Drosophila melanogaster: one gene and its partner. The protein of the gene in region 1 interacts with the protein of each later gene in a pairwise test. Each region holds a gene or a part of one and is shown on either strand. Other genes may lie near its edges.

Region 1 (4,846 bases):
ACTCCGTGTGCCTGATCACGATGCCCATGCACCTGATTGCCAAGTACGATGCCAGCCTAGTGCCCAAGATCCGCCAACTGGTGGACTATGCCATCGAACTGGAGTCGTTTGCCGGTTCGGAGCGTGAAACGCACCCAGCCTTCAAGGAGTACAGTGGCCTGCTCCATTTGCACAAGATGTCGGCCATCAATACGCTGGCCGTGCACATGCCGGAAACCCCGGACTTGGCCTTCAAGTTGCGCCGCAAGAAGTTCATCATCGAAAAGTTCCATCTGCCCCCGGAGCTGCAGGAGTCATCTGCCAAGCCGGACAATTGCATCTCTGGTCTACTGAGCAATTCCAATGCCACAGCCTCGCTGGATTTCTAGCTGTCAGCGGAATTAGAAACTAAGTGCGCGTATGTAACCACGAAACAACTAAATTGCATAATAATAAGCCAAGTAAATGCATTAATATATCAGCCCTGATTTTGTACCATTTTGAAAACAAACCGCTCTTCTCGTCTTATCGTTTATCGATTGCCCTGCATTGCGCTCAGCTGTTCGGTTTGGTCATCGGTTTGTGTTTGGCAACGGGACGCCTAAAATGTAAACATGTCGGATTTCCATCGTATTTTTGGGGATTTAAGGGTGTACTACGAGCCGAATGTGCAGTGGGTGGATGTGGAGGAGTGGCTGTACGGCGAGGAGGCCGAGGGCAGTGTGCTGCAGCAGCGGGCGGAGAAGTTCTGGACTATGGCCATGTGCCTGCAGGATGGTGGCCACCAGGAGACGCAGCTGCAGTTGCTCCGGGACTTATCCGCCATCATACGAGCCATGAGAGACGAGAACCAGGCCAGCTATAGCAACACCCACGACAATTGGTCCAACTTAATTGGATTTTCTCCAGCGCTTGGCTACCTGACGTATATATACTCGCTTGTGAGCCTGGTGGTTTTGCCCGAGCATGTGCAGCAGGCTGCTCCGCAGCAGCTGAATGAGAACATCAATATGCAGCTAGCCCTCAATGCGGCTACAACCTACCTGCTCACTTTGACCATTCCTGGTGCCAAAATCTTTGGCGTCTTCGACGAGGATGTGATCGAACAGGTTCTCAAGGTCTTCCGTCTTCTGGAGATGAACAATAACAAAAGCTTACGCGCTAGCATGATCTGGATGTTCTTCCTGACGATCTGCGATGACCTGAAGATCGTCTTTCGCTACGTGCACTTCAAGGAGCACCTGAAAACGCGCGACAGGATCATTCGTTGTCTGCTGGAGGTGCTCTACATGAACTTTAAAATGGGATATCAAAATACATGTAAGTGTAACCCATTATGTTATACTTATTTAGTAACTTTAAATTTAAGAACAAACGAAGGCGAAATTTCGAGATTATTGCTAACAAGTTTTTGGCGCCAAAACTATTTGTTTGACAAGTAGTTACCTATTGCATAATCAACCGTGGTAGTGTCTTGTTCAAATAATATTTTAACAATGTTTAGCCAGTTTGTTTATAGTTTAGCTTATTTGCAAGAATTGTATTTTTTGAGAAATTCCGCTGCCGATGACAAACTTCTTTGCCTATCGATTGTCTGTGATTACTTGCGAACAGCTGATTTAGCTAGGTGTGTACACACTGCCGCACACTTAACGAACTGAAGATTATACAAACAAGTGCTAAAATAAATGAAATCCTAAGGCAAAGTTAACGTTAATTGGATCAAATAAAGATCTAACGATGATGCGCAGCCTTTGTGCCCTCCGTGGACAATGCCAGCAACTGTTCAGGAGCTCCATCCGCCCTCAAAACTCAGTCCATAAGTCACAACAATTTTGGCGCATGAAATCGACGGATTCTCCGGAGGATGCCGCCCGTAAATTGCGTGCGAAATCCACACTCTACTACATAACCGCCGGCGGTGTGCTGATTGTGGGCCTGAGCTATGCTGCTGTGCCGCTGTACAGCATCTTCTGCCAGGCCTACAGTTACGGAGGGACCACCACGCAGGGGCACGATGCCGAAAAGGTGGAGCACATGAAAAAGATCGAGGATCGGGTGCTGAAGATCCGTTTCAACGCCGACATTGGATCCTCGATGCGCTGGAACTTCAAGCCGCAGCAGTACGAGATCAAAGTAGCTCCTGGCGAGACTGCTCTGGCCTTTTACACGGCGCGAAATCCCACGGATAAGCCGGTAATTGGCATCAGCACGTACAATGTGATTCCCTTCGAGGCGGGCGCGTATTTCAACAAAATCCAATGCTTTTGCTTCGAGGAACAGCAACTGAATCCACACGAGGAGGTGGACATGCCCGTCTTCTTCTACATCGATCCCGAAATAACGGCAGATCCGGCGCTGGAGACCTGTGACACCATCACCCTTTCGTACACCTTCTTCGAGGCCAAGGAGGGTCTGAAACTGAACTTCCCCAGCTATGCAAAACCTCATGCGGCAAGTGCGTGAAGGGAAAGTGCTTAGGTCTTTGTTTTAAAACAATAAATATTTGTTATGCCAAGTAGAAAATATTCCAGTCATTCTGTATGCTAGTTCTTCTTCATTAAGCTGTATGAAATGTTCTGCCTTGAAAGTTTGTAAAGAAATGTTTTTAAACTTATTAATCAAATGAAAGGATCTTTAAGAAACTATGGAGCTAAACTATGGATTTCCGACTGAAATTCATTTAAATCCATTAAAATCGATAACAAACGATAACAGCACAGTTTGAGAGGCGCCGCAGCTGATGCAGTTTGAGCGGCACTCCATCTGGAGCTGGAAAAGAAGGAGGCAGTTTATTAATAGATAACGCCGAATCTGATTCTCCGGCGCATTTCAAACGAACCGGACGCTTCCGCTCCGCCAGATTGTGTACTGTGACCCCTTTGAACCCGGCGTTGCGTTTAATCGATGACGTGGAGATGAACAAACAAGTTATATTCGGCCTGCTCCTCGCTTGCATTTTGGTGTGCATTTCAGGACAGGATGAGGAGGATTACCAGGAGTCGCCAACGGTACTGATTGCCCTGCTGGTGCGGAACAAAGCCCACATACTGCCCATGTTCCTCAGCTACCTGGAGCAGCAGGACTATCCAAAGGAAAGAATAGCAATTTGGTTAGTAAAGTGAACTCATTTAGATATGGAATTGAAAATTGCAAATCTTACCTCTGGTTTGGAAATATCTCAGGTTGCGCTGTGATCACAGCAACGATGACAGCATAGAGCTATTGCGGCAGTGGCTGGACAACTCGGGGGATCTTTATCACAGCGTAAGCTACGAATTTAAGCCGGAGGAGCAGAGCTTTGTCAACGGGACTTCACCGTACGAGTGGCCCGCATCGCGTTTCAAGCACCTAATCGCCCTGAAAGAGGAGGCCTTTCAGTATGGTCGCGATATTTGGGCTGACTACGTGTTTTTCCTGGACGCCGATGTCTTGCTAACTTCAAAAGATTCGCTAAAAGTCCTCACCCGACTCCAATTACCAATTGTGGCTCCCATGCTGATCTCGGAGAGCTTATACTCGAATTTCTGGTGTGGCATGACGGAGGACTACTACTACAGACGCACCGATGAGTACAAGGAAATCTATCATGTGAAAAAGCAAGGCAGCTTCCCAGTGCCAATGGTCCACACAGCCGTTTTGGTGAACATGAACCATCGAGCGGTTAGGAATCTCACCTTCGATAGGAACAAGCTGGTGGAATTGCAGAAATCCCGACAGCAAGAGCCACTGTACGATGGACCAGCCGATGACATCATTGTGTTCGCCATATCGGCCAACAGTTCAGGCATTCCCTTGCACATTTGCAACGACATAACCTTTGGTTATATACTGCAGCCATTGGAACCAGGCGATACCTTGGACCACGACGTACAACAGCTGGTGAACCTCAAGAGCATTATGGTCAATGAACTCGGCGCAGTGCCGCCACTGCTGGACTACTACAAGCATTTGGAGAAGAAACCGGAGAAGAGCAAACTCTCCTTGGACCGCATATTTATGATTAATCTAAAAAGACGACCCGAGCGGCGAGAGAAAATGGAAAGGCTGTTCGACGAGATCGGAATAGAGGCGGAGCACTTCCCGGCCGTTGATGGCAAAGAACTGAGCACGGAAAGGCTGCTGGAGATGGGCGTACGATTTCTGCCCGGCTACGAGGATCCCTATCATCATCGGGCGATGACAATGGGCGAGATTGGCTGCTTTCTGAGCCACTACAACATCTGGGTGATGATGGTGCGCAAGCAACTGAAGGAGGTGCTCATTCTGGAGGACGATATACGTTTCGAGCCGTATTTCCGACAGAACGCAGTCAGAATTCTCAACCAGGCCAGGAATGCCGCACAGTACGACCTGATTTACTTTGGCCGCAAACGTTTGAAGGAGGAAAGCGAGCCGGCTGTGGAGAATGCGGATAATCTGGTGCACGCTGGCTACTCGTACTGGACACTGGGCTACGTTATATCCCTGCAGGGTGCACTGAAACTGCTGGCCGCCAAGCCGCTGGACAAGCTCATACCGGTCGATGAGTTTCTGCCGCTGATGTTCGATCGTCATCCGAACAAAACGTGGACGGAAGCCTTTCCCAAGCGTAATCTTGTTGCCTTCAGCGCCTCGCCGCTTCTGCTGTATCCCATTTACTATACTGGTGAATCTGGTTATATATCCGACACCGAGGACTCGCAACAAATCAGCGTGGAGACGAGCGAGGAGGGCGAGGCCAGGCTAAAGAGCGATCGAGAGCAGGTTTTCGACCATGAGCAGGAATTCAAGCTCAATCCGGAACTCAAGCTGGGCGAGAGCTTGTCCAAGAGCCACCAGGAACTGTAGATTTCTACCGAACAAAAACCATGCCAAATTTTTGACT
Region 2 (17,370 bases), on another chromosome or scaffold:
ATGAGTGGAGATCCCGAATCAAAGTTAGAGTATTTTCGCATTTGGTAGCTTTATGAACAAATGAGGAGGATCAGAGAACCAAAGGAGTGGAGCTACGCGTAGTATATATATATATTTGAAAAAGGATTTGTATTCACAATTCTCTTTTTTGCTTTTTTTTTTTTTTAGTAACCTCTGTGTTTTTTTCGTTCTGGCTCTTCCTTTGCTAGTTGTAGTTCTATGTATAAAATACCTATTATATCTATTTCAATCTATCCGAAGAATGGGTTGTCAGGCGATTGACAACGTTATAATCGATGTGCAACCAAAATATAGCAAATATGAACAAACAAACGATCGAATAAAATTAAACCAAGCAAAGTCATTTTAATGTACCTACTCGTAATATAAATAAATTATCATCGGACTTTTAATATATTGTATAAAAGCAGCACGAATGGATTGCTAATGTAGTTTGTTGACTGATTTTCAAAGCATCCCAAAAGTATACTTTTCGAAACTGAATGCAAAAATTATCGGTCACATTTATTATACAAAACTTTTCCTTAAGTCTAACAAAAAAAAAGAGTTCTCCCTACGCTACAATGTCTTTGAGTTGGGGGTACAGCTTTCCGAGGAGCTCCTCAGCTGTTCACCAGGCGCTGTTTGCGGCGATGCCGCCGGATGAGGGCCTCCAAGGACCAGGATGTTGCTGCCACAAAGGACATCATATTGAGACAGTGCAGGGTAACCGAATAGTCGTAACGGTCACGCACCAGGCCTAAAAACAAGGGAAATATTAACATAACTAAATTTGCATCCATGGATAAGATATTTCATTATATTATCAAGGAGATATACGGATTCATATTCATGTAGATATATGAACAAATGATGATACTTATGACAGTATCCTTTTTTACATCCACATTGAACAACAAAGGTAATGTATCAGATTCTATAGGCACTCACCGACAAATGGACCACCGATCAGGGTGAATAGTCCCGAGATCAGCAGTTGCAGTCCCGAGGCGCCTGGCAGGCGGTTCAGAGGCACATAGCCGGGTATGATCAGTGGCCAGAAGATGGTACGCACTCCCTTGCAGAGACCGATCCACACGAAGCTGCAGAGGATCAGGCTGTAGGAACGCGTGCAGGCCACCACTGTGCGGCCGAGAGCGATGCCCACCACGCCGATGAGGAAGAATACCCGGTTGTCCCACGGAATCTTCTCAGTGAGGAAGGGGACCATGAAGCGCATGGTGATGTCCAGTCCCGCCAGCAGCGACATGGCCAGCGTAATCTGTGGAGTATCGAAGCCAAAGTCCACCAGAATGAAGGGCGTCAGTATGGAGAAGTTGAGCTCCCCAAAGTTTATGATGGTCAGTCCGGCCACCAGATTGACGAAGGTGAAGTCGCGCAGCAGGTCCAGATCGAAGAAGGTCACCACCTTGGCCAGAAAGCTCATCTGCGGATCGTGCAGTGGAGCCGACTCCATTCCCGCCTCCTCAGCCTCGGCTTCCTTCTCCTTTCGGTTATTGTTGTGCTCCTCCCGCTTGGCCGAACACTGGCAACACAGCTTGGCCTCCAGGTTGGACTCCACCCGCTCCCTGCGAAAGTTATTGGGGCGCAGGAACTCATCGCTCTCGTGGTTCTGCTCCTCGCTAATGGGACAATGCAGTCGCTGCGTCTGCTCCAGATCCTTGGAGCTCGAGATGGTGCGAAAGCGAAGGCGGCCCGAGGTCAGCGATAGCCGGGATCCATACCAGCCATCGTTGGCGCGCGAGAGCATCGGTGTGCCGGGCTCACAGATCTCGTAGCCCGGTCGCTGGGCATCGTCGTCCTGGCATAGATACTGACTGGAGAATATGCCGCCCGGCTCGCGTTTCTGCTGCCACGAGCAGTGGGCACACAACGCCTCCGCCTGCTGCTCCTGATCCGCCAGCTGCTCCACCGGTGGCTTCACATGGTACCGAACCGGCTGATAGATCAGGGCGCAAACGAACGAGTGCAGCGAGATGGCGGCGAAGAGTAGCGTGGTCCCCTGCACCCCGTAAATGGTCAGCAAAAAGGTGACCAGATGCGGCAGAAAGATCGGTCCCAGACCCGTTATGGTCCACGAAAACCCGGCCGCCCGACGACGCTTCTTCTGGAAGTACGTGTTGATCGCCAGCGAGGAGGCCGACACACTAATGCCCATGCCAAAGCCTGTGGATTGTTCAAAAGTTAGTAGACAAGCTAACACAATTGCTTTCAAAACAAAAATATCCAATAAAGTATAATTTAACTTTGCAATTCATTAATTATAATGTCAAAGGATAGTTTTGAACGACATCTTGAGTGCATCGAGATGCCTTTGTACTCACCAAACAACAGGGCGTAGGCCACCATGTAGCTGAGAAAGGTTTCACAGAAGGCGGTTAGTATGAGACTCCCGGAGATTAGCAGAGAACCGGCCATGGCCACCTGGCGAAAGGTGAACCTCCGGAACATCGGTCCATTGAGCAGACCCGTGCAGGCCGATACGGCCGGATTTGCGTTAATGATGGCTGTAATCTGGGAACTGGACATGCCCAGATCGGACAGGCGCTCCCTGAATAGAAAGCCAAACTGTTGCAGGCAGGGGTAAATGGAGAGCTGTAAAGCAAATCTATTAGAGTTCTTCCGAGTGATAGGACTTCAATAGGAAACAGTAACTATATGCTTATGTTCACCTAACATTCACTTAAAATATATTTGACATGGAAATGGATGAAATTGGCTTAGTTTTACCTACATTTGAAACGCCAGCGGCGACGCAAACGATCCACGCCCATCCCGCGTCGGGCGCCACAAAGTCGTCGCCCAGATCGCTCTTGTCGTGCTTGTTATAGTACCGTGCACGGGAGACCCTGGGCAGCGGTCGCGTTGTGTCCTGATAGACCTTCTTCTCCATGGCCAACTGTAAGCGAATCAGTGAGAAATATTGTATTAAAAGGCATGTCCGTAACCCTGAAAACAAATGCAAATAGGGAAGTGATATGGGAAAAATTCCATTGAAGGCAGCTGGCCGAGTTCGTAAATGATTTACGGCAATTACTTGGCGCAATACGTTAACGATCACTTGTCACAATTAACCGCATACGGGTTATAAAGATGCCATCCCAGTCGCCGCCAGCAGGCAGATCGGTGGCACAGTGTTGTTGCCATCTGATCAGAACCCGGGTTCACGATTGGGTACCAAGAAACGAGAATACCAAATCTGACATTCGAAATCTCCGGTTTTCCAATGCCTTCTCACCCTCTACCTCTCCACCAGCAGCAGCTTTCCTTATCAGCGGCGTCATGTGACAGATTTCCACCCAGAGACGCAGACCAAAACCAAAGTTAGCGCGCAAATTGTGAATCATATTTATGTCCTCTACGCACACAGAAAGATGCTAAATGTGGTTGATGGTCTAATGAGGAATGTCATATCTATGAAATATGCATCTTCTGGCAGTCAAAAACTACGATTAAAAGATACAATTTGTGTCAGATAGAACCAAGTGTAACAATGGCTCATTTTGCATCATCAAAACCTATTTGAATATTAAACATTTCTTTAGAGTATTTTTTTGTGTGTGATGATTGAGCGTAGCGATTCCCCTGCCCAAGGTCAATGGTGTCTGGTCCGTAAGATGTCCACTTATCAGTAGTTCGATTCTGTATTCCGTAGTGCTCCAGATTCGATCTACGTTTGGGCAAAATTTGAATTCCAGCCAATTTCAGATTCTAGATGGTTTCGAGTGTCTGCGGATTCGGTGCAAGCCACAAGACTGATGGCGAAATGGGAAATGGAATTCAATGGAATGAATCCGAAGCTGAAGTAATGACACAACTTAAATGGTAGACGATGGTATTATTCAATGAAGTTAACTACAATAGTTCCTCACTAAAGCAATTGCAAATAGAATGCTTACTTCTCACCCTATAATTGAGTAATGATTTAGTTTTACGAGGTGCGAGAAAATGTGATAACAAGCCCCCACTGATAGCGACTGAGGTCAAATCAACCAGTTCGATTAGTATAGCTCTTCAAAACTAACCACAAATGGCTTGCAGACAACCGGTGGAAGATTTGATTTGCGAGCAAGTGTGATAAAAGCCCACTGATAGTGACTTAGTTCAATACAACCAGTTCGATTAATAGAGCTTTCCAAAACTAACGAAATGGATGGAAGATTCGATTGGCAGGTATCCAAAATATAAACTATTCCACTGAGAACTGACTTGCGTGAATCGCTTCAATTAAAACAATTAGCATTCAAGCTATTGAGAAAACAATCAAGAATGCCACACTACATACATAGTACGTAATACTAGTGCATATTTGAGAGGCTGAACCCACACGTTTTTATAATATACATATAGTAGTATAAATCTATACAGTTTTTAGACTTTCGATAATTATAGCACAGCTGCCCTAAAATGTTTGCACTTACGTTTTAATGTAAGCTTGTGGTTGTTTAAAAGTTACAGAAATATTAAATTTGCACGTCGCTCGTAACTTATTTGACAATTTCTCATAACTAAGTCACGAATACACATAGCGTATTTCGTATTGAAACAACATGTTTCCCATTTTCTCGTTGTTTCACTAAACCTTAATTTGATTTCCAAACTGTATGTAATAGTTTTTTGCTTTTTGTCGGAAGCTTTCTAAGCAACTGAACTTTCGTAACATTATGAAATAGTATAGATTTTTGTCTATACTTTTTACCCAACAATGTTTTGGGTAAACATCCATGCTATTGCCAATAAGACCGAAGCCGCTAAACACTTAATTGACTGAAGTTGATGGAAAACAATGGGCCCAGGCCTAGATACACAGATACAGATACAGATCGAGATAAGCAAAGCCCAGTGACTATGGATCCATCGATAAGGTGATAAGATTGCGATGGGCAGCGTGGTTACATGTGGCTCTGGAGTGGAAGCCACATATTTGGCTACCAGCTGTGCCCCCAGATAGCCAATGATTCGATTCGATGGGTTGTTGACACTTTCCCGCCTTCGACTAGTTTTGGCATGCACTGAGAACGAAATCGTGGAGTTCTGAACTTAAATCAAATTAAAAGATGCATTTAAATCGATTGAATATCACTGCACTTAGATCTTTGCATTTCAAATGCAATTCAGAAAAACATTGGAATTTGTATTCAGAAATTCAGTACATTATAAGTGTATCTTATGCTTGCAAATATGAGTAACTTACACCTCAGATACACATCCATACATACATATGTATGTCTAATGTACTTAATGTTTTTCACAATGCAAATAGCATTTTTTAGATTTTTTATTTAATAATCAGGGTCTATACATGTATGTATCAAAAGCTGATAATGTAGCTTTACTTTTTATTCAAAGAATTTATTTAATTTGGTAGAAATTTGTTAAAATTCACTGGGTAAACGAAAAGTTATAGAGAAATGAGAAAGTTATCTATACGACGAGTATCTTTCAAGTCGCTGTGTTCTCATTAAGACATAAATTAAGAGTTTAGTTTGCGGTTTTTTAACTAACTTACAGAATGTTTTTGGCCACTTTCCGCCCTTATGTCACTCAACTCAAACGAGGGCTATAATAATCTGAAAACCAATCAGGTGTTTTGAACATCTGCTGATAGCAGGGCAAAAACAAAAACGATTCCAAAAGACGTCGGATGAACTCGTGCGAGGTGTGTGATGTGAACGTGTCGCACCCATCATATCCCATCGCGATTCCAATTCCCGATGCGATTCCGCCCACTTACTTACCTGTGCTCCGTACGTAGTATTCTAGTATTTGGTATTCCCAGTGGGATCCGCGTATAGTATCTCCTTGGCAAGTTCGCCAATTGGCAGCACAGTGCTTCCTGCGCCAGTGGTTTATGGCTTTTATTTTGGGTGCTGGTGCTGCTGCTGCGGCTGCTGCTAATGCTATTTATTTTTATACACCACGAGATGCACTCACTAGCGGACCAAACGACCAACCGAGTGACTGAATGACTGAAAGACCGACTGAATGGCCTGCATCTAATTGAGAGGCGCTATGTGGACTACGACTGAAGTTCAAGGTTGTAGCATTGATGGTTACCACAGGGAAGGCTCAAGGTTTGCCACTCCTTGCCTTAAATCACTGCGAATGCTCTATAGAGCTATATTCCCAAAATGCCACAAATTCCACGATGCCCGCGATATGATCCCGAAACCAAATCCGAAACCGAATCGAAAACCCAGCTAAAATCTCATTTGACGAGGGCTCGACGTAATCGCGGTACTTCCATCGCCGCCAGCTGCGAAAATCAACTAAACCGAATCTGAACAGAACCCAATTGCTATGGGCATGAGCCGAGAAAGCGCCGATGGGAAGATCGGATCGACTAACGCCAATCGATCGGCGCTACGTCCACGTAATAGCAGCGCCCACTGCTGTTGGCTAACAGGGCTGTTCGGGTTTCGACCATCCATTGACCTATGTATGTCTATCTGTCCATCCATCTACTCGTAGTAGTTCCTTCTTGGACGCGCCATCTAAAAACTACTGGCGGCTCCAACCTATCCATCACAAATTTCGGTTAACATGTGGTCTATACACACATAATATACACACGTAAATGCTACGGATTTGTTTCCGGTGTGGAGAACCCAAATGCCCAAAAGTGTGCAGCGATTTTGTAAGCCTTATCCATATACACAATCCCATTTGATTTATTGACCAAAATTATGAAATTATTATGAAATTATGACTTGGATTACTTTAATTTGCTTATTTGAATTTTATCTACCCAGCTTATAGTATAGAATAACTCATGATTGATGGTCCACTTGAGACGAAAGAGTATTCTATGCGAATTTTTTTTTTATGTAATATAAGCATTGCTTAACTATGTGTATTATATCTTGTCTCATAAGAAGTTCTTGTTACTTAAACATAATATATACTGTTTATTTAAATTTGATTTTCTATTAACATGATATAGTTAAGTTTTAAGTAAGTGCAGGTATATTACATAAATCTACAACTAAGCTTTTCTCGATTTTAATAAAAACTTTAATATAGCGTATCATAAAAATCACCTGTTAACGACATAAAAACTATTGATATACATTTTCATTCAACTAAAAAACTGCCATATCTAAGATATAAGTCACGCTTTGTAAAAATATTCGAGGTGGACAAAATTCATTTGAAAGGAAGTCTCTAGAGCCAAGTGCTTAGACGTTATGGGCGTAGAAACTGTAGCTATTTATAGAAGTTTTTCCGCTAAGCTAACGTGTTTTTCCAAAATTTGGTCATATTTAGTTGTTTAACAGAAAATATAATATTTTAGGTTTTCCAAATAACGTTTTGTTGCGGGAGAAAACCAAATCGACATAAACTCTCATTTTGAAAAATGGCCAATTACTTGTTTTGAAAATATATTTCAAACGGAGGTTTAACAAGACTTCGGTTTTTTTGTCAGTAGCAATTAAAACGCAACTGATGGGTCTCAGTTCCAATTTGTTGTACTTTTATCGGAACCATAAAATTTTGTACCTTTTGATGTATCACTCGTTATCTGCCAACTACAGCAGATTTTCGTTCCTTGTGTGTATACATACTTATATCTACATAGCACACTCTCCTGGTGCGCTTCGGCACTACGTGGACTGCCGTTCACAGTGATGTATTTAATAATAAAAAATATTTGTATGCCCGTTACTCGTAGAGTAAAAGAGTATACTATTCGTTGGTAATAGCTAGATGGTAGCGTTTCCAACCATAAAAATTACATATATTCTTGATCAGGACCAATAGCCGAATCGTTCTTTCGTGTGATAATTCTTTGTTTTATTTTTTTTTCCCAAAGTCTATAATATGCCATCAAAATAATTGAATTCCGCTAATGCATTTCCACTTGCTGAGTATCTGATAGTCGGGGAAGACGACTATAACATTCTAGATTGTTTTGTTATTAGGCAAAGATATTTATTATAGAGTATTTGTTTTGCCGTATCAATATTACTCGTAATATACTCTATATTGTTAGGTACTCGCCAAAGTTGGGAATACCCCATTTGTTTTTCCGTCAGAGAGTGTTTTTGGTAATTGGTCACACTGCTCTCCAAGTGCCGGGTACAATTCACGTTGTCACTTTCGTTCGTCTGGGAGTGGGTTTTCATATCGAGTAGCCGAGGAACTCGGAACTTGGAGCACGGAAAATGTCCAGAAAGTACGGCAAGCTGCAGCAGCAGTTCCTCTGTTGCTATCCGGTGAACAAGATGGCCTGGTCGGTGAGTAATCCATGTGATACATTATGACCCGGCCACCTGTTGAATCGATTTGGTGTCCATTGCAGTCGGTCACGCTGCCCCTCAGCTGGGAGGATCAGCAGGAGCTGTTAGCGGCCACCTGTGGCCACCCGATGAACCAGTGCTATCCTGTGCGTCGCAGCTACCTGGAGGCCTTCCTCAAGCACCTGCTACTCCTGCTCGGAGATCAGGAAGATCTGCACGACGATATATACAGCAGCTTGTGCGGTCCGGTGGCGGAGAACGAAGCGAGCACAGGGTCATCCACGTACGCCTACAAACATTATCTCCTCGAACCGGGCGCCCACATCACGCTCCGTGAGTCCACCAGCTTCGTGGCCGAGGGCACAACGGGATTGTGCACCTGGGAAGCGGCTCTGGCCCTCGGCGATTACCTCCTGCAGCACCGCGACCTGGTGCGTGGCAAGAACATAGTGGAGTTGGGAGCCGGTGCCGGGCTGCTGGGAATCATGCTGAAACTACCGGCCCTGCAGCTGCAAGTGGGCCAGGTCCTGCTGACCGATGGCAGTGAACCCTGCGTCCAGCTAATGCGCGAGAATATCAGCCTGAATTTTCCAGACACGCCCAAGGAGCAGATGCCCCAGGCGGAGCAGCTAAACTGGGCTGCGGTCAGTGAGTTCCCCTGGGATTCGCATGCTAAAACGGATCTTTTGATAGCCGCCGATGTGATCTACGATGATTCCCAGTTCGATGCACTGCTGGGTGCCATGGACTATTTGTACTCCCGACGCGGAGGTGGACTGGAAACCCTGCTGGCCAGCACGGTGCGGAATGTGGACACGCTGCACAAGTTCATGACCCAGCTGGGTGAGTCATGTCATATCTCCAGATGGGGAACGCCCGCATAACTAAGCATATTATCCTCCAGGTGACAGTGGCTACAAGGTGACTCCATGTGCGAACGTATCGGCCTGTGCCAGCCACTTTTGTCGCGATCACACCGCCGCCGTCCAGATTATCTCCATAAGACGCTAGTTTTAGTCCTAAAATAAACCTACACCACGTAAACAAACACCCACTATCTGGAACCCACTTAAGGCCTTGATTGTATCTCTATTGGGATTGTTTGGAAAATTGGAAAAGAATTTACAGCTCTTTAATGATGATAAAGATACAACTGCAAAACCTTTTAGGCGGATCATATGAAAATGTGTATATCAGAAGTTTTGTATCTAATTTCCAAAGAATTTGACTTAAGCAGTTATAGTTCTATATTTAATATTCTTAAGTCGTTTATATGCCTTGATATATAGACGAAATTTATAGCTTCTTCAACTCAGGCTCCTATTTCTGTTGTCACCAATTGTATGTGGATAAAGACTGAGAAGTCTTTTTATTTTCGATTCATTAAATACTGAGTATTTGTGATAAGATAAGAAAGTGTGTGTGTACAGCTCGGGGACCTAAGCTCAAATTCGGGCTCACTGGTTGATGGTGGGAATGGTGCCGTCGTTCAGCCAACGGACGTTGAGCTGCTCGATCTGGTGCTTCATAAAGATGATGCCGTACACCTCGTACTGGATCTCCAGCAGCTGGGCGCGATGCGTCCGGGGCACCTTCATGCCCACCACGAGTGCCAGCAGCGAGGTGATGATGAGAAAGACGAATCCCTGGGCCATCAGAGTGCTCGAGTCGGTGGCATAGAAGTAGGAGTTCTTCGCATCCGCCACAAAGTAGAAGTACACGATGCTGGTGCAGATCAACTTGAGCACATACGAGATGCATATGATGCATTCGGTGAAGCGCAGATGGGTGACCTCCAGCAGGAGAATCTGCTGCTGCGAGTACGACAGGCCAAAGAGCACAAGGAGCAGCCAGAGCGACCACCTGGAGTCCGTAACGCTGCAGAGGATCATGGCCAGCAGAGTGAAGGAGATGAGGGCCACCTGCGAGCCCACAAAGGTGACCTTCACCGACAGGAACCACTGGCAGATGAGGGCCAGCAGGCTGCCCGCAAAGATCACCCAGAACATGCCGTCGATGCCGGAGAACTCTGTCAGCCGGATGGCCGGATTAAGGGCAAACCAGTAGACAAAGTACACGAACAGGGCGAACTGCACGGCCTCCGTGAAGAGGAGCAGTAGCATTATGTTCCACTGCTGGTTCTTGGTCACGTAGAAGAACTGCAGTCGCTTGATGACCTCCGATCGCTGCTCGAAGATGCTGCCATTCGAGTTGGCGATCCGCAGGTCGTTGTCCATGCTGTTCACCAGGTCGACGGTGCCCAGAAAGTGGAGCACCTTCTGGCCCACCAGAATGGCCAACACGGCGGCCGCCACACTCAAGTAGGTGCCGGCGAAGTTTACATAGATGCCATCGATCAGTTGCTCCGTGGTCACCGTCTGTCCGGCCAGCTCCTTTACATTCCGGCTGTAGGAGGCCACGATCAGGCTGACGGCGGACGCCACGCCCAGCAGGTAGCAGCTGCAGCTGCCCGAGAGGAACAGCGACCTGCTGCCCTTGGAGCTGATCGTGAGCAGGAAGCTATAGCCGGCCACGAAGGTCATGCTGTGCGCCAAGTACGATATATAGGCTCCGACGTGGTCTGAAGTGATAATAATAGTGGGATTAAGGAATTGGAAAAACTCGCTGAAATCATACATTCAAAACATTTCTTAACGATATTGATTTAAGAATATAGATTTCAAAATCTAGCCAAGATTGAATCATGCTCAACATACTCAGATCGAGATCGAATCATTTTCAGATTGCAAATCACTTTGCCTCTCTCTCTCTCTCTATTGGGAAATAAATTCAAGTATTGTTAACTGAAATCTATTTCAAAACTTATATGTAGAACATCCCAGTTCCAGCCATATAGATACAGATTGATTTACTTTTCACAAGCCTTTCGAAGCGAATTAATAGCCCATAGAAATGACTCACCAAATCCATCGGCAAAGTAGAAGCAGCTGCCTATGAGATTAAAGACTCCGGCTGCCAGGAGCAGCCATGGCTGCCAGTAGACGATGCACTTCTTCACGAACTTGACCGTCAGCATGGCCAGGGCAGTGATCAACGCCCAGCAGGCGCCCAGAATCAATGGTCCATAGTGAATGAGTCCAGCGTTGAGGTTCCGCTCCGCAACAAAGGCGCAGATCGTATAGCCAAAGATCATGCCGCAGGGCAGGAAGCACAGGCAGACTGGAAGTGAATGAGACGTAATCTCTGGACAAGGATCTCCATTGGCGTGGCTAACTCACCCACATAGCTGGGCGCATATTTAAAGAACTTCAGCACCAGTTTGCCCCACACATTCGACATTTTTGCGATAGATTTGCGTTAGTTAGTCCAGCAGCAGGGAGAGGAAGGTTCGTCTATCGAAGGAGCTTAGAGCATTTTAGCGAGCAGCTGGAATGGAGATGCCTACGATGCGACGCCGGACAAATGGCAAATGGGCCGGTGGAAGTCCGGCGGAGAATTCGACTGCGACGAAGGCGGCGCAGATAAGGCGATAAGATAAGCCAACCCGACCCGACCAGGTGCATGTGTGTGGTGGCCATGGATACACGGGCGGAAAAGTTGAGGGTTTGGGATTATCTAGCCATTTCTCCGCTCGGGTTCATGAATTATGATAGTCAAAAGGAAATCCGATTATGTTGCGCATCTTGTGGAGAAATTCGTTGGTTATAGATCAATGTTTTTTTTTGTACCTGAATGTATCTTTTTTTGAGCAAGTATCTATCTATGGCATTACTCGAAGTACTATATTTCCCATTTTATGTAAATATTTTTACCCCAATTTATATGATCGAATTTCCTGGCGCTTTTTTCGCCAGTGTATCCCAAAGTGAGTGACTAATGCCGCAGTGGAATAAGCCACTTGGACAGATAAACAGATGTCCGCCGGTTGATAAGCTCCTTGGCAGTTGGCCCAACTGAGGGCCCCTACTATTTACCACGCTGCCACGGAAACGTACAATTTTTTGGCCTTTCATATGCATAAGAAAACAATGTGGCAAAGGCCATTGGGCCATTCCAACGATAGGGCTTAAAACTAATCTCAAATGGCTAATGGTGATAGGAGTACGGGCAATAGAACGTCCGGCGATAATGCTTGGTAAATTGATTTCAATCCAATATTAAATGCCAGCAAGTACTTTATCAGACGCAAATGGGGTGGTTGGGTTGTGGGTGGGTGGTTGGTTGCCAAAGTGGGTGGGGGTAAGTTCTTGGTTAGTTTGTTTACCTTTGAGCGGAAAATTGATTGAAGCCGAGAGCAAAAAAGAGAGAGAGAGAGAGTTGCGACAGGAAGTAAGAAAATAAAAGGCCGTATACGAAAAGATTATGGTCGAATAAATATTAAGATGGCATTCCCAGCCTACATAACAAACTATATACATATATACATTTTTAGAAATAATAAAAAATATTAGAAATACTACTTAACGATTGCGTTTTTGGAGTACATTTTATCATGTATTCGTTGTGAAGTTAGAAATTAACAAATCAATAATGTCTATTATTATTGCTTAATATAAATATAACTTTATCAGACTTGGAAATTAATTACTAACTTAAGTGAAATACTTATTTATTAAGATTTGATTTGTGTAGAAAGCAAAGATTTCGTCAAACCCTCACAAAGCGGAAATTCTTCAGATTTTAGTATCTTTTGATTTAACTATATATGTCTGCTTTCTTTCTTAAAGACATGATGTGATAGCAAGCTGTCACTACATTAATTATCTGCTACATTCAAGACTTGGCACTTCTTTCGGGCAGTGTACATTTGCGACGTCACACCAACGGCGATTCGACGAGCTGGCGAGAGAGCAAGCAAAACGCTCAGTTGCATAAGCGTCCCGAGACGAGAGAGGATGTGTCCAATGCGCCTGTGCGCTTCCCAGGCGCAACCATGACACGGCCGCTTCCCCCACCCATCCTGTCATCCTGCACAAACGGAGCCGAACCGGCGGCCCAGGCAGCGCTTATCCGCTGGCAGGGCACCCCAATGTCTTGGCCCTGCCTTATCCCTGGCTTTCACTTCCGCAACTCGGCTGCGACGACAGCTCCGGCACTTGCAGGCCGAACTCGTAGCGCCAGCACCACCCCAACCACACCAACCACCCACCAGCCACCTAACAGCAGCAGCAACCACCAGCAACTACCAGCAGCTCCAGCGTTGCGAACAGCCCCATTCCTTCAGTTGACTTCGCGTTGGCGGTAGCCGCCAGCCGCTGCTGCGATTGCAAATCACAATCGGAATCCGGATGCTGCAGGCAGTGCTCCGGGGCGACTGAGTGGCAATGGAATTTGACGGAGCGCTCGGAACCGATTATACCGCCAGATGCGAGACACGGCAGCCACTAGCGCCCAGCCAGCCATGATTGTGATGAGCATCTGGTGCAGCAGCCTCAGCCTGAGCAGCCGCAGCCTGGCCATCGCCCTGGTGATCTGCGTGACTCTGGTCTACTTCTCCTACAGCTTCAATGCCTGCCTCCTGGCCAGCATCAGTCGCAGTCTGCAGCAGGTGAATATGTCCACGAATCACTGGACAATGTCTAAGTGTAGGGGCTAAATGTATCCAATATCCAATGCATTTATTCATGAAAACAAACTGATAATTGGAAAATCGAATATAAAGTTTCGCTACACACATGTGTAAAGTGGAGCCAACTCAAAATTAGGGGGGGGGGGGGGGTTGTAATAATCCCCAGCGGTTTCAAAACATTTAACAAGCTGTCCAAAAGTGTGCTGTGAAAAGTTTAAGTTTTGTCTTTCGCTGAACTTTGCGATGCTATCTACATACATATATACGATTATATATATGTACATTTATAGTTGCATACTTTTCGGCATACTTACAAGTTGGGCATTTTCATAAGCCAATATGTTGATATGTTTCGCACGATGTGTGGCATTGACCTCTGACCTCTCCCGCGCAGAGCAACTTACGCAATCTACTGGCGCTGACCTCCTCGCCCCGCAACGAGACCAATAACGCCGCCAACAGCAGCAGCAGCAACAGCAGCAGCAGCAGGAACAGCTCATCCACCACCGGTGCTCCGCCGGCACAGACGGTTACTAGCAGCCTGGATGGGGCGCCCAAGTATCAGCTGCTCCGTCAGCAGGGGCTCCGACCATCGCGCCACCTGCCCGACACGCTCATCATTGGCGTGAAGAAGAGCGGGACGCGGGCGCTGCTCGAGTTCATCCGCCTGCATCCGGACGTGCGGGCCGCCGGTTCGGAGGTGCACTTCTTCGACAGGCACTACCAGCGGGGACTACGCTGGTACCGCCACCACATGCCGTACACTATCGAGGGCCAGATCACCATGGAGAAGACGCCCAGCTACTTCGTCACCAAGGAGGTGCCGCAGCGCGTCTACCACATGAATCCGGCAACAAAGTGAGCTTTTCTACATCAAACCTATTGTGATCATAATCGTAAATTGTTACTCCATCAGATTTGATAGAACTTAAAAACGGTCAATTCTTAAAAATGATATTTTTAGAATACTGCACTTTATCCACAAGACTGTATTTAGTCATAGCATACTTTTTAGCACCTATAATAGAAGTGTTGAAAATTGAAGAGAGATACTTTTTAAGGCCGATTTGATATCCCTTAAATATTGAAACCGTACGTAAATCGTAGCATACTATATAATAAAAGTGTTTCAAACGCTTAGCTGAGATTTTTAAGGCGGATATCCCTTAAATATTGAGTCCTTTTAAATATGTGCTTTATACACAAGACTTTAGAACTTGTTTTAGGTTTTATCATACTTTTAAGCACCTTAAGTGAAATGGTTTTCGGAATACAACATTCGATTTGATCAACATAGAAGGGATTAACATTATATTCTAAATGCATTATGCGTTTTACATTAACCCTACGTATCTGGACCATCAATCACTAGCATATCTTCACTTAACCTCAATTTTATACGCCCGTAGATTACTGATTGTGGTGCGGGATCCGGTGACGCGGGCCATCTCCGACTACACACAGGCGGCGAGCAAGAAGGCGGACATGAAGCTCTTCGAGCAGCTGGCCTTCGTCAACGGTAGCTACTCGGTGGTGGACACCAACTGGGGCCCGGTGAAGATCGGCGTCTATGCACGCTATCTGGAGCGCTGGCTGCTCTACTTTCCGCTCTCGCAGCTGCTCTTCATCAGCGGCGAGCGGCTGATCATGGATCCCGCCTACGAGATTGGACGCGTACAGGACTTCCTCGGTCTGAAGCGCGTGGTCACCGAGAAGCACTTCTACTTCAATGCCACCAAGGGCTTCCCCTGCCTCTTCAAGTCGGAGGCACGCTCCACGCCCCACTGTCTGGGTAAGACCAAGGGGCGCAACCATCCGCACATAGATCCCGGGGCCATCGAGCGCCTCCGGGAGTTCTACCGGCCCTTCAACAACAAGTTCTACCAGCTGACGGGCATCAACTTCGCCTGGCCATAGGATCCACGGCTGGGTGAGTAGACGGAACTGGGATACGTGCAAGGCTAGTACCGAAATGGATTGGATTGGCCAGAGGCTAGGCACCTTCACTGATCTGCTCAATTTACATATCACATCCATCCCCATTGGAGTATGCTTGACTATCCCTAAGCCCTAATCCCTAATATCTGGTATCAATTTCCGTTTCAGCGGGCGTGAAATGAATGGAGTTTGAGAATAGGAGATATTGTTGTTGCTGGCCACGGCAACGGACTGATATTGTTGATTGCATTTTTGATACATATAATTGTACTTATATATAGTATATACACACACACATAAAGTTAGTGCTCAATTAATTGTAGCTTTATCAGGAGACAAATTCAACGAAGTGCGCAACCTGAAAAGTCCGCACTCAAACAATACGGTTCCTCACTCCAATTCAATTCAAATGAAATGAAATGAAATGAAACTCACTTTTCCCACTATACTCGAATGTCAGGCAGTTGGACGTGGAGGAGCCACGTTCGATCCGAGATGGACATGGTTCCCCCGTCCGCTGGGCACACACATTGCTATGTACTACCACTACCTAAGATCATTATACCTAAGATCATTATGTGCATTTATATACAAGAATAGTGAAAAAATAGAGCTTACTACGAAATTCCTACAGTCTCCTAAACTAAACATATACAAAATATTGTATGCATAGTTCCAACAATTTCAATTGCATGACTCAACCAATACGATTGCTTAGCCAATTTCAATTAAAAAACAAACTAAATAAATCGACCTTAAATCTAGTCAGCCCCTAAGAAGATTGTTATCTTTCCATACGATTTTAAGTAAATAGCACTTGCTGGGTTTAACTTTTTCAATTTTTATAGTTTATTGATTTCATTTCATTTTGGTTTTAAAGTGATTGTGAACGATTCACGGTATGCTTCTTGCTTTGTTTTCAACAATAATGATAATTTCTTGGTTTAAGGTTTGTGTGGTCTTTTTGCTTTCGCCTGCCACTGGGTCTCTTTTAGTTTTAAGTACATTAATTAAATAAATTGCGGTGGTTTGTGGTTGTTTCTTGTTGCTTCAAGGCAATTATCCAATTTGCTTTCGATCTGCTTCTATAAAATATGTTGGTACACGCTACATAAGAAAATTATATATTATTTTTTGGGATTTTTGTCGTTTGTTGGTTTCCTGCTTACGGTTATGAATTTCTTTAAAAATAACTATGCATAAGTGGTGATCGTAAAAGTAACTATGGTAATAACTTTAATTTTAACAAACTAGTCGAAAATAACTTAAATCCTATAGTACGGATTGCCTTAATCTACGTAGCTACATGTTCTTTGATTTGATATATTACATTTATCCGATTGGTTTCGGTTTAGGAAGGCGGGCGGCCAGTAAACGAGATGTAAGAGTAGGCAGTGCGTCCCCATTGGGCTACTTCAATTGATCTTCCGCCAGTGCGTCTAGGAGTTGTCACGCACAGTTGTCAGTCCCACACCACCGGATGCTCTTCTCGCCTTCGCCACCTCATCGAGGACCGCTTCCGATTTGGAGCTCTGCAAGCGCTTCTCGCAGTACAGGCTGCCCACCGGCCTGGCCATCGATGCCGACAAGCTCTTGGTCACAGTGGAATATCTTAGGGCTGACGAGGAGTCATTGCTGCCA

The links.
Region 2: the proteins of Cox11 (region 1) and CG7889 interact in a two-hybrid assay, tested with the Drosophila melanogaster proteins (one large-scale study listed by BioGRID).

Annotation. Positions count from the first base shown.
Region 1 is NT_033779.5:5,525,356-5,530,201, forward strand, and holds Cox11 (cytochrome c oxidase copper chaperone COX11), read left to right. Parts: upstream 1-1,601; 5' UTR 1,602-1,719; coding exon 1,720-2,445; 3' UTR 2,446-2,499; downstream 2,500-4,846. Other genes in the region: Elp4 (elongator complex protein 4), read left to right, coding at 1-368; Cap-D3 (chromosome associated protein D3), read left to right, coding at 594-1,299; CG31915 (uncharacterized protein), read left to right, coding at 2,898-3,091, 3,165-4,809.
Region 2 is NC_004354.4:19,235,554-19,252,923, forward strand, and holds CG7889 (uncharacterized protein), read left to right. Parts: upstream 1-8,077; 5' UTR 8,078-8,186; coding exon 8,187-8,258; intron 8,259-8,323; coding exon 8,324-9,104; intron 9,105-9,165; coding exon 9,166-9,272; 3' UTR 9,273-9,671; downstream 9,672-17,370. Other genes in the region: CG14196 (uncharacterized protein), read right to left, coding at 624-760, 952-2,187, 2,346-2,616, 2,756-2,914; CG7992 (uncharacterized protein), read right to left, coding at 9,719-10,842, 11,184-11,441, 11,501-11,561; Hs3st-B (heparan sulfate 3-O sulfotransferase-B), read left to right, coding at 13,588-13,770, 14,186-14,649, 15,201-15,708; rictor (rapamycin-insensitive companion of Tor), read right to left, coding at 17,169-17,370.